Linked DNA regions of Callithrix jacchus. The protein of the gene in region 3 binds, or shares a complex with, the protein of the main gene of each other region. Links are inferred from orthologs where the notes say so. Each region holds a gene or a part of one and is shown on either strand. Other genes may lie near its edges.

Region 1 (3,947 bases), on a different chromosome or scaffold from region 3:
CAACTGTGGCAGAGCTGCGGGCCGGGCGTCTGGGCTGAGCCCGGCCTAGGTGGCACATAGGGTGCAAGTCCGCCCCCGCCAGTGGCCCGCCCTCCGCGACGGCGAGCCAGCCAGCCGGTCGCCCCCACGGCCCGCGGGGACCCCGCAGAGACAAGCAGACCCCCGCCCCCCACGGCTCGCGCCCGCGCCTCCCGCCACACCGAATCCAAGTTCGGGCCCGGGGGCGGCGCCTTGAGGCCCAGACTTGCCAAAGGGGGTGGAGCCTCCGCCGTGACGCGGCGGCGCTGGCCGTAGACCCCGGATCCCTGGAATGTGCATTCGTTCCACGAGGCCCTAGTGCCAGCGGCGCCGAGGCACGTCTGCGCGGAGCGTGCGCACTTGCGGCGGCGGCCGTCCGCGGCCCCGCGCCCACGTCACGCGCCCGCCGCGCGGACCTACATAAGGCGGTCTGGGCCGCTGGCGCGGCGAGGACCCCGCTGAACAGGGCGGCTGGACTGGCTAAGAGTATCACTTGGTGTTCTCGAGCAGCTAATCAGAACCGCGCTCCCTCCGCTCGAGGGCTCCGTGGAAAACGCGCGAGCCAGCTGGCGGCGTGTGCACGCGGTGCTGGGCTTGGGAACGTCAGACTCTCCCCAGTTAGTAAAAGGGGCAGGCAGCGCGTGTGTCCTTCCCAAGACAAATGCAAATGCAAAGCACCAGTGACGGATTTCATGCTCATGCGTCCGACATTGAGCTTTCAAGTCTCACTCCTAAGAAACTGGGACTGTGAACCACGCTAGACTTAAAATCCCCCTTCTCTGGAGACTGACGAAAACCAAGTGACAAAGTGGCCTTGCATGAAAAAAAATTTAAAAATGACTTTTGGCATGGTTTGGCCCAGAGGCACACCAGGGGAAAACATCCTGAGGGTGGTCGAGACAGCCGGGTGGGGCGCGAAGTGAGGGAAGTGGAGGAAAAACGCAGGACCACTTAGCACGGCGTTCCGAAGGGAACACCGGCTCTGCGGCGCCCGGCTCTCCCGGCAGCGCTCCTTGGGCGCGCGGGGGGAGGGGGAGCACGCGCGCGCGGGAGGGCGGGCGCGCGCACGAGGGGAGGGGGCCCGCGCAGGCGCCGTGCGAGACTGTCGAAGAATCAAGTCTGTAGAAGTGGAGCGGCCGCGGCGCCAGCAGCAGCAGCGACGGTGGCAGCGGCGGAGCTGAGGCGGGCTGGCCGCTGACGCTGGCGCTGGAGAGCGGCGACGCCAGGAGCTGTGAGAGAGCGGCGGAGCGACCCCGGGCCCGCGCCGCGCCCGAGCTCCACGCCGCCCGGCCGCCGCCGCCCCGGCGCGGCATGCCCCGCCGCTCGGGCTGAGCCTGCCCCGGCGGCCGCCCCCCGCCCCCCGCCCCCCCGGCCTCCCCGCCCCCCGCCCCGCACTCCGTGCCGGCCGCCGTCGCGACCTGCTGCGCTCCCCCACGCCCGCGCGGCCCGTCTTCGCCCCGGTCTGGAGGCCCGCCGCGGCCCCGGCCGAGCCCCAGCCGCCTCGCCCGCCGCCCCGCCGCCCCGCGCCGCCCGCCCGTGCCCGCGCCGCCCGGGGGGACCTGCTGCCGCGGCTGCAGCCTCTCGCCCCGCGCCCGCCGCCCCTCGTGCACCGGGGGCGCTGCGCGGGCGCCGAGCCTTCGCGGGCTTTGCCGCCGCCGCCGCCTTTGCGGCCGCCGCCGCCGCTGGTGGGGGAGACGCGGGGTTGGGGGGGGAGGAGGGCGCGCGTGGTGCCGGTGGGGGGCGGCGGCGGCGCCCCCTCCTCCTCCTCCACCTTCTCCGGCGCGGCGGGCTCCTCGGACATGGCCGCGGCGGTGGCGGTGGCGGCCGCGTCCCGGCGGCAGTCGTGCTACCTGTGTGACCTGCCCCGCATGCCCTGGGCCATGATCTGGGACTTCACCGAACCCGTGTGCCGCGGCTGCGTCAACTACGAAGGCGCCGACCGCGTCGAGTTCGTCATCGAGACGGCGCGGCAGCTGAAGCGGGCGCACGGCTGCTTCCCGGAGGGTCGTTCCCCGCCCGGCACCGCGGCCCCGGCTGCCGCCAAGCCGCCGCCGCTCTCGGCCAAGGACATCCTTCTGCAGCAGCAGCAGCAGCTCGGCCACGGCGGCCCCGAGGCGGCCCCGCGCGCCCCGCAGGCCCTGGAGCGCTATCCTCTGGCGGCCGCGGCCGAGCGGCCCCCGCGCCTTGGCTCGGATTTCGGCGGCAGCCGTCCGGCGGCGAGCCTGGCCCAGCCGCCGACTCCGCAGCCGCCGCCTGTGAACGGCATACTGGTGCCCAATGGTTTCTCCAAGCTGGAGGAGCCGCCCGAGCTGAATCGCCAGAGCCCGAACCCGCGGCGCGGCCACGCGGTGCCGCCCACCCTGGTGCCGCTCATGAACGGCTCGGCCACGCCGCTGCCCACCGCGCTCGGCCTCAGCGGCCGCGCTGCCGCCTCCTTGGCCGCGGTGTCCGGAGCCGCGGCCGCCAGCCTGGGCTCTGCGCAGCCCGCCGACCTGGGCACCCACAAGCGGCCGGCCTCTGTGTCCAGCAGCGCAGCAGCGGAGCACGAGCAGCGCGAGGCGGCAGCCAAAGAGAAGCAACCGCCGCCGCCGGCCCACCGGGGCCCGGCCGACAGCCTGTCCACCGCGGCCGGGGCCGCCGAGCTGAGCGCTGAAGGTGCGGGCAAGAGCCGCGGCTCCGGAGAGCAGGACTGGGTCAATAGGCCCAAGACCGTGCGCGACACGCTGCTGGCGCTGCACCAGCACGGCCACTCGGGGCCCTTCGAGAGCAAGTTTAAGAAGGAGCCGGCCCTGACTGCAGGCAGGTTGTTGGGTTTCGAGGCCAACGGGGCCAACGGGTCTAAAGCAGGTAGGGGCGGCTGTGGAGTGAGGGGCTCTAGGGGAGAAAAGGGGACGGAGAGCAGAGGAGGGGTGGTTTTTTTCAAGTCACCATTTTGCCCCAGCCCAGAAACAACAAACACCCCACTTCCTGATCTGCCTGAGGCGGAACCAGTGCTTAGTGGCAACGTGTTCCTGTGCTGAAGCAGCATAACAGAGATGAGTCACACTGGGCTGATAGGCTCTGCCACGGGCTTTTCCTTTCCCAGCACATTCTTGGATGGGAGCATGAGGGCACCAGTCACCTTTTAACCTACTGGGGGACATTAGCGGTCACATGCCCAGTGCAAACCTTGTGCATGTGTAAAAACAGGCAGTTACAAGCATGCCGTTTTCGCTGGCTCCGTTTTACTAAATCAGTCGGCTGCCTCGGAACCCCATACGTCTAAAGGTTTTAAGTTGCATGTGCACTTGAAACTCGAATGAGTCTTTTCTGTCCGTGCTTTTAGAGAGGAGGAATTCTGAAACGAGTTCGCTTCTGGTCGGGAAGAGGGATTCTTTCCAGTGCGCCGTCGTTTATGTTTCCTTTCTCTTTTCTTGTCTTTGTGTTTCCAGTTGCAAGAACAGCAAGGAAAAGGAAGCCCTCTCCAGAACCAGAAGGTGAAGTCGGGCCCCCTAAGATCAATGGAGAGGCCCAGCCGTGGCTGTCCACATCCACAGAAGGGCTCAAGATCCCCATGACGCCTACATCCTCTTTTGTGTCTCCGCCGCCACCCACTGCCTCACCTCATTCCAACCGGACCACACCGCCTGAAGCGGCCCAGAATGGCCAGTCCCCCATGGCAGCCCTGATCTTAGTAGCAGACAATGCAGGGGGCAGTCATGCCTCAAAAGATGCCAACCAGGTTCACTCCACTACCCGGAGGAATAGCAACAGTCCGCCCTCTCCGTCCTCTATGAACCAAAGAAGGCTGGGCCCCAGAGAGGTGGGGGGCCAGGGAGCAGGCAACGCAGGAGGACTGGAGCCAGTGCACCCTGCCAGCCTCCCGGACTCCTCTCTGGCAGCCAGTGCCCCCCTGTGCTGCACCCTCTGCCACGAGCGGCTGGAGGACA
Region 2 (3,969 bases), on a different chromosome or scaffold from region 3:
ACCACGTGGGCGCTCAGTCCTCCACCTTCCAGGCAGAGATAGGCCAGCTACAGAAGGGTAATCTACTCCCGAGCCTCTCCCTGCAGGAGCTATCCCCTCTCTGAGCCTCAGTTTTTTCATCTGGAAAAGGGGCCGATGGCTAAAACGTGACCAGTGGGTCGCTCTCGTTGAAGGTCGGCCAGCGGGACCGCCTGGGTGCCGGGCGCCACCTGGAGGCTACCGCGCAACGTCCTGTCCCTCGCAGGACCACTTCAGTCCCAAAGGGGGCGCAGCATCTCACACAACTAAGGGACCAAGAAGGAAAAAAAAACCCATCTTTCGGTTTATTGAAGGAGCAGAAGGGGGCGGGAGAGGGTTTATAAAGAGCGAGTTTTCAGGAGGTCCCTTCTCAAGGAGGAGGGGGCACCTCTCCCCCAACTACAAGCAGCAGCAAAGCCAAGCCAAGGAGGACAGAGGGAAACTGGAGGGGCCAAGGGACCCCAAACACCCCCTCGGACAGGAACCACAAGCTTTCTCCCCCCACCCACAATGCATCTACCCCAGGGGACCCGTCTGTGCAGAGGAAGGGAGTATGTACACAGGTAGGGGTGGCACTGGGCTAGGTCGGGGAGGGAATAATTTATCCGCGGCAGCGGTGGGTGGCAAAGGGGCAGAGGGTGGTGGCCAGTGGCCTGGAGGCAGTGGTGGCCTACGGGTCCCGTTCTTTCTTAACCTTGATGTCTCCAGCAAGGATGGTGGCGATCTCACCCTGCATGAAGGCCCAGGGGACGGAGGAACCCACCAGCGGGCATTTGTCTCCGCTTGGGCAGTACACCTCCCCAGCCGGGCCCTGTGCCTTGATGAACTCGCGCGAGCAGGGAAAGCAGAACTTGTGTCCGGGCACCGAGGGGCACTGGACGAAGTGGGTGTCTTCCAGCCGCTCCCTGCACAGGGTACAGCACAGGGGGGCCCCAGGGGTCGCCCCGGTGCCGCCGCCACCCCCGCTGACAGCTTCGGCCCCCGCTGTGGGACTGACTTCGGCTTCACCGTTGCGGGCAACCAGGCGATGCTGGGTTGGAGGCTGGGCCGTGGAGGAGGCTGCAGGGCTGGCACCCCCTGCACGCACAGGCCCCCCACCTCCGCCAGGGTCCTTGGGTGATTGACCCAGGGCCTCGGCCACATTCTTCAGGGCGGCAATGGGTGAGGGCACACCAGGGGTCTCAGCGGAATACGGGCCACCAGGTGCTACCCAGTGTCGTTGCTGCTGCTCCTCGGTGGTCATCTTTCCAGCCGCCTCGCCTTCAGGCTCGGGGGATGCTTTGCGACGGCGCGGCGTGGGCGCTAGGTTCCGGGATGGGGCTCGCGGGGGTGGGCCACAAAGAGCCGCAGGGGCCGTCTCTGGGTACTGCTGGGGAAGGGCCTCTGCGGGAGCTGGCTCGCGGAAGCTGCGGACACCGTCGGTCAGTAGCTCACCCAGCTGCCGCCATTCTCCTGAGCCATGCCGGCGTTCATATTCGAGGTACTTGAAGCCCGAAGAGGCCAGTGCCTTGCCCGGCTCCCGCAGAGCATCGTGGAACATCTGACGAGCCACCGCCAGGACGCCTGCGTACACATTGCCGGAACCACAGGGGTATTCCGTGAAGAGCTTCAACTCGAACTCGTATCCTGGAGGACGGGCAGTAGCATCGAAGGCGAACACCCTCCCCACCAGCCCGTGATCCTTCTTGAAGCGCACATTGAACGGGGCGCAGGCGGACAGCGCCAGTAGCTGTTCCCGCACTGCTTTGGGGCGCCCGTGCCATTCCTCTGCCCTGCCCCGCATGGCCTCGTTCAGTTCTGCCAGACAGTCCGCATTCCTCTGCTGCTTCTCTTTCTCGAAATCAGAGCTGAAGAGGGGCCGGGCAGGACTCAAGCCGGGTGCCAGCGTCAGGCCTCTGCTTCCCAGGCCAGACACTGCAGCTGCTAGCAGCCCAGGGGGCATCAAGCCAGGCATGGAGCCAAGCAAGGCCCTTCGCGCCCCCTCTGCCACAGCCTCCTCACGGCCAAGCCCATTGGCCAGGCGGGACCCCAGAGTGTATTCCAGGGCCGGCGAGGGCAGGGGGAGGCGGCCCGATGATGTGGCCCTGTCATAGCGGTCCTGGCCTGAGACGCCGCTGCTAGTCCCTGATGGCTGGGGCTGGGCCTGCGGGGGCGGCAGCTGGGGCCCCTGTGCGGCGGCCGCAGCCAGGTCCTTGGTGGCCGGGTGCTTAAGGGCCGGGGGCCCGGGCGAGCGGCCTTCGGGAAGCACGTGGCTGCGCTTGAGCTGGCGGGCGGCATCGATGAGCAGTTCGATGCGGTCCGCGCCCTCGAAGTTCACGCAGCCGCGGCACACCGCCTCGCTGAAGTCCCACACCATGGCCCACGGCATCTTGGGCAGGTCGCACAGGTAGCACCACTGGCGGCGGGACGCCTGCACAGACGCCATGGCCCCAGTCCGCGCGCCGCCCGGCCCCCGCGTTCCACCGGCCGCCGCCGTGCGATTCGCGCCGCCGCCGCCGTGCGATCCGCGTCCCCGGGACAGCGCTAGCCACGGTCCGGCCTCCGGCTCGGCCTCCCCGCCGGATCCAGGCCCGGCCCCCCTTCCCCGCCCCCTGGGCCTTAAGCCTTTTTGCTCACTCCCGCCTCCCTCGCAAAGGCAGGCCGAGGCACGTCGGCGCCCTCGCCCGGTCCGGGCTCCGAGCCGAGGCGCACAGCTCGGGTCCCACGATGGGCTGCTCTCGCCGCCACCTAGGGCTCCCGCCGCTCTCTCCGCCGCCGCTGCAACGGCCGCCGCCACCTCCACCTCCTTCTGCCCCAGAGGCCGCTTCGCAGGGAAAGTTACATAACGCGCCGGCAAAGCCTTCTGGGAAACGTAGTCCCGCCGGGGCCTGCTCTTAAAGGGAACGGCGGGCAGCCAGCGGGGGTCGCCGCCTCTCCTCGCGCAACCCTTACTCCTCCTCGCCTCGGGGCCGGAGTTCCGCACGCCGTGAGGAGCTGGGACACAAAGGTGGGAGGCGAGGACAAAATACGAATGATCAGAGCTACTCCGGGTTCAGAAATTGTGGGGGTGGGTGGACAGGCTGCTGGCTTCCAACTTCTGTTTCGATTTGCGGTGCAGCTTTAGGCAAAATTTCTTACCCTCTCTGAGCCTCAGTTTCCTCGCCCAGCAAAGGTGGGCCAATGACGAATTAGGAGGGCAGCAGCTTCTGGGGCGGGGCGGAGAAGCTCTGATTGGCTTCAGAGAAGGGACAGGAAGCTGCCAACTAGGAGGGGGTGGAGGTGGCCACTTGGCACTTCATCCTTCTCCGGAATCCCTGGCTCTGGGGCCCGCCACAGCCAGAGGAGGGAGAGGACTAAGGGCTCCTGAGTCAGAGCTTTGCCTCAGTTTGCTAAAGGAGGGGGGCGACCGAGCGCCCTCTAACCCTGTCCTAGCTCTGCTCGCGCGCTCTGGTCTCTAAAGGGTTACACCATCGGCCGCTGGGCGTCCCCCCACCCGCTTCACTACAATTCCCAAAATGCGCCGCGGGGCGGACAAAGTGACGTACTTCCGCCGTCTGGGAGGTTGGGGGGAGGCCTTCCAGATTCGCGCTACCTCCCCCGCTCCCCACCCCCAACTTTCTGGGGTCTTTGCGTGCTTTCGGAGCATGGCGTTTGCGGGACCCTTAGCCTCTATTGCTCCCCAGTTTGAGGGAAGAGTAAGGGGCTAAGAGGAGGGAGTTGCTGGGGAAGGGCAAATACCCGACCACCTTTCCCCAACCTTGAGCGCTCACTACCTGGGAGGCCCAATCAGTCTTTGGGGACCCTCCTGTCTTCTTTCCCGGGCCTTGGGAACGGGACGAGGCTGTCTTTGGGGAAGGGCGGAGGCGGGTCTCCAGGTTCTAACCCACAACAGCCCCTTTCTCTTTCTAGGCCTGGGTCCGTGTTAGGTGCTTAAAAATATTTGAATTGACGTGCCAGTTGACCCTGGTTTTC
Region 3 (3,940 bases):
GCTGGCTCGTGTGCAGGTTACAGAAAAAGCTGAGAGGCTGAAGAAGGAGGGGACCTGACCCTACCCTGAAAACAGGGTACATGAGATGGAGGAGGCGGCATGTGACAGAAGGGATCCGTCACCCATCATAACACAAAGTCAAGGCTGAGTAAAAAAAGTATCAGCTTAGGCCAGGGGCGGTGGCTCAAGCCTGTAATCCCAGCACTTTGGGAGGCCGAGATGGGTGGATCACGAGGTCAAGAGATCGAGACCATCCTGGTCAACACGGTGAAATCCCGTCTCTTCTAAAAATACAAAAACTTAGCTGGGCACGGTGGCTCGTGCCTGTAATCCCAGCTACTCAGGAGGCTGAGGCAGAATTGCCGGAACCCAGGAGGCAGAGGTTGCAGTGAGCCGAGATCACGCCATTGCGCTCCAGCCTGGGTAACAAGAGCGAAACTCCATCTCAAAAAAAAAGAAAGTATCAGCTTAAAGGGCACGTTAAAGCCCACCCTGGGCAACAGGTGTGGCAGCTCATGCCTGCAACAACTACTAAGGAGGCTGAGGGTCACCAGGGCTGGGTAGAGTCTGTGGAACACAGGGAGATCCTATCTCAAAAACAAATGAAAAGACCAGCTTACTTAGAGCTATGGAGAAGGACCTCAAGAAACCAGGCTTTGAAGAATGGGGCTGGGAGGTGGGGCAGGGGACACTGCTTTTCATGTAAGTCTTCCACTGACATGGCTGCTGTATACACTATGTTGATTAAAACACTGAATGGATGGGGTGTGTTTTTTAAGAACATCAGCTTAGAGAGACTGAACTGGAGCCCTGGCTCTGTGCATCTGCACACATGCCCTCAGCATCTGCAGCCACATCACCTCATCTATGGAGTGGGGGTCACGGTGAAGGATGCAAGATGTTGAGCTGCCCCCACAGCCTGAAGCTCTTTTTTTTTTAAAGATTAAAGCCACAGCCTGGGAAACAAGGCGAAACCCCCCCCACTATACAAAAATTAGCCAGGTGTGGTGGCACCTGTGGTCCCAGCTACCTGGGAGGCTGTGGTGGGAGGATCACTTGAGCCAGGGAGGTTGAGGCTGCAGTGAGCCAAGATCACCACACTGCATTCCAGCCTGGCAGACAGTTAAAATCCTGCCTCCAGAAAATAAAAACATTAAAACCAGTGAGCACAGAATCCAACATTGCTGAGAAACATTAAGTTTGCCCTGGCCCCGTGGCTCCCTTGTGGAGAGGACCTTTCAGTTAGTGGTAAGCGGGTAACAACTGCCTACCTGGAATATTTCTTGAGTTGTAAGTAAATACAGAACACCTGTTTATTAACAATAATCACCTGTTAACATGTGGATCGGAGCCTGCTGGGGGCCTTCAGCCTGGAATGCTGTCAGCCCCGAGGCTCAGCTCCGTAGGCTATGGGCCCCGCCAGACCCTCGATGCTCTTCTACCTGGGCGTCTTCCCACTGCCTCCAGCGCAGCCTGGGTGGAGGTCTCCCTGCCCAGTGGTACTTGCTGCAGCTTATGAATATATTCTTATTTGAATTGCAAGGCAGGGGAAATGCACCTACATACAGTTTCACCTCGTTTCGGTGTTTTCTTCTAGCACTGGGTATTTGCGAGCTGCGGGCGAAATGACCAGATCTAGTTTTAATTTGATGTTTTCTGATCTTCCTCAGAACCACTCACTACTCCGAGCTATTTTTCTGTCCCCCAAGAACTTCCAGCTACAAGTGTACCCTAAGACTGCCTCCTCTTATCGGTTATTTATTGCAGCGCAAGTTCCGCCAACGCCATCAGGCCCTGGAGTACATTCCCGGGCAGACAGGCAACTCCAAACAGAGAATGACCGGCTCCACATCAACTGTGCGGCCCGGGCCTCCCCGGGGAGGGTGCGAGCTCGCCACCGTTCAGAGCCCACACTCGTGCACCTGCTCACAGTTCTTCAGGGCTGATGTATCTCCCCAAGAGCAAGACAAGCCCTGCCACGTCCTCAGGGAAAAACCACAGTCCCCTCCAGCAAGGCACTGTCTCCAGTGCGCTCACACAGTGGGGATGGAACGTCATCTACTTTCTGCACCCCAGGGAAAAACAAACGGCCCCCTTTTTAGGGGCTGCACCACAGAACTCGCACACAGGCGCTGAGGAGGGGGCCCCCGGGAACGGGCTGGGGTCCTCGCCGAGCTCGGCGGCAGCCCTGAGATCGCCCGTTTCGCTGCGCGCCGGAGGCTTCCGCGTGCAAGTCCTGGGCTACTGGGGCTCCTGTCCACAGCCATGGAGGAGGCACAGAAACGGTGCCCGTCGCTCACGGCTGGCTGGCAGGAGCCACCCCCGAGGGAGACCTCGGTCCCCCGAGGAGCACGGGCGCGGTTCTAGGCCTTTCCAGTCTCCCCGCCGCGGCCCCGGAGCAGAGATCGGGAGCTCGAGGCCCCCGGGCCGGGCTACGGCAGCCGCGGCCCAACGGACGCCGGGGCGCGGCGGGGCAGGGGGTGCGGAAGCGAGGAAGCGGGAGCCCCTCTTCCGGGGCGCGGCCAGGGACGGGGAGCGAGGAGCTGGGGGCGCTCGCCCGGCCCAGACAGTTGGCGGCGGCGGGGCTGCGGCGCGGACGGCCCGGCGGGCGGGAGGGGGAGGAGGAGGAGGAGGAGGGAGGAGGGAGATCTCGCTCTCGCTCTCGCCCCGCGGGAAGGGGGAGGCGGAGGCGCGACCGGCTGCGGGAGCTGCAATTACCGTGTGGGCTGCGGAATTCTCGTGGTGTTTGTCGGGGAGATGCGATAATGGCGTCCGTCCTCGCGAGAGAAGCCGCCGCTCTGCGCAGGCGCCGCGAGCCCCTCCCCGCGACGCTCGGCCCCCGCCCTCCGCGCAGGCTCACTGGGCGCGCAGGCCCGGGGGTGGGGCCGGGGCCGGGGCGGGGCGTGCGGGCGGCGAGGCCCACTACGCGCACTTTTCCCGCTCGGCCTCCCGGTGAGCATGCGCAGGCTGGCTTCTCCCGCGACGGTATCGGCTTCCCAGGGCTTTTTTCCCCCCGTTTTTCGCCCACGCGCCTGGCCTGCCTGAGAAAACTCATCTCAGTGGACTGTCTGAAGAATTTGCATCTTCTTTGAGATGGAATGAATAGGCATTAGCTTCCTCAACGACTACATCTCCCAGGGTTCCCTGCGCAAGCTAGGAGCGATGCATTCTGGGACTCGTAGTGCCTTCGTCTGGACCCTGCCTGCCGGGACTTGTAGTCTCTCCGGACTCCGGTCGCGGCGTCCAGTCCCCGCACCAGGGGCTGCTGGGACTTGTAGTTACAATGATTCAGGTGGGCTGTGCGCCCCCAGCGGGTCCTACTTGCTGCTGCGACGAGTCCTGCCCTGAGGTTCCGGAGCGCTGGGAGGCGTGTTTCCAAAGATGTAAGTGGTCAGGGGTCCCCATTGTCCGTCCAGAGGGGCCTGAGTTCACGCGCGCGCGGGGGGGTAGCACACACAGTAGTGATTATGGTCTTAGACATTTCCTACATGAAACACATGCCTAAGTGATGGCGGCCAGGCGCCGTGGTCACGCCGGTAATCCTAGCACTTTGGGAGGCCAAGGCGGGCTGATCACTGGAGGTCACCGGTTCGAGACCAGCCTCGCCAACATGGTGAAAACCCGTCTCTACTAAAATTACAAAAATTACCTAGATGTGGTGGCGCAGTCCTGTAATTCCAGCTACTTGGGAGACTTACGCAGGAGAATCACTTGAGCCCAGGAGGCAAAGATTGCAGTGAGCCGAAATCTTGCCGTTGTACTCCAGCCTGGGCGACAGAGTGAGACTCCGTCTCAAAAAAAAAAAAAAAAAAAAAAAAGGATGGCATCGAATGTGCACACGTTATATTTTATGTAGAATAAATGTGCAAATGTGCATTTGTGGTAATCCTAGGAAAAAATTCCCAAAGTATAGGGCAATTCCTGGAAATGTCATTCCTGG

What was found. Proteins that work in one complex are often made in the same cells at the same time.
Region 1: BANP (region 3) and IRF2BP2 share a complex: the UniProt entries of both Homo sapiens proteins name them as parts of the corepressor complex. The link is inferred for Callithrix jacchus from reciprocal best matches to the Homo sapiens genes BANP and IRF2BP2.
Region 2: BANP (region 3) and IRF2BP1 share a complex: the UniProt entries of both Homo sapiens proteins name them as parts of the corepressor complex. The link is inferred for Callithrix jacchus from reciprocal best matches to the Homo sapiens genes BANP and IRF2BP1.

Annotation. Positions count from the first base shown.
Region 1 is NC_133520.1:50,621,498-50,625,444, forward strand, and holds the start of IRF2BP2 (interferon regulatory factor 2-binding protein 2), read left to right. Parts: upstream 1-1,139; 5' UTR 1,140-1,817; coding exon 1,818-2,865; intron 2,866-3,449; coding exon 3,450-3,947. UniProt on the Homo sapiens protein: Acts as a transcriptional corepressor in a IRF2-dependent manner; this repression is not mediated by histone deacetylase activities. Represses the NFAT1-dependent transactivation of NFAT-responsive promoters.
Region 2 is NC_133523.1:40,034,186-40,038,154, forward strand, and holds IRF2BP1 (interferon regulatory factor 2-binding protein 1), read right to left. Parts: upstream 2,809-3,969; 5' UTR 2,444-2,808; coding exon 689-2,443; 3' UTR 301-688; downstream 1-300. UniProt on the Homo sapiens protein: Acts as a transcriptional corepressor in a IRF2-dependent manner; this repression is not mediated by histone deacetylase activities. May act as an E3 ligase towards JDP2, enhancing its polyubiquitination. Represses ATF2-dependent transcriptional activation.
Region 3 is NC_133521.1:45,581,498-45,585,437, reverse strand, and holds the start of BANP (protein BANP), read right to left. Parts: upstream 2,803-3,940; 5' UTR 2,719-2,802; exon of another isoform or gene 1,331-2,718; intron 1-1,330. UniProt on the Homo sapiens protein: Controls V(D)J recombination during T-cell development by repressing T-cell receptor (TCR) beta enhancer function. Binds to scaffold/matrix attachment region beta (S/MARbeta), an ATC-rich DNA sequence located upstream of the TCR beta enhancer.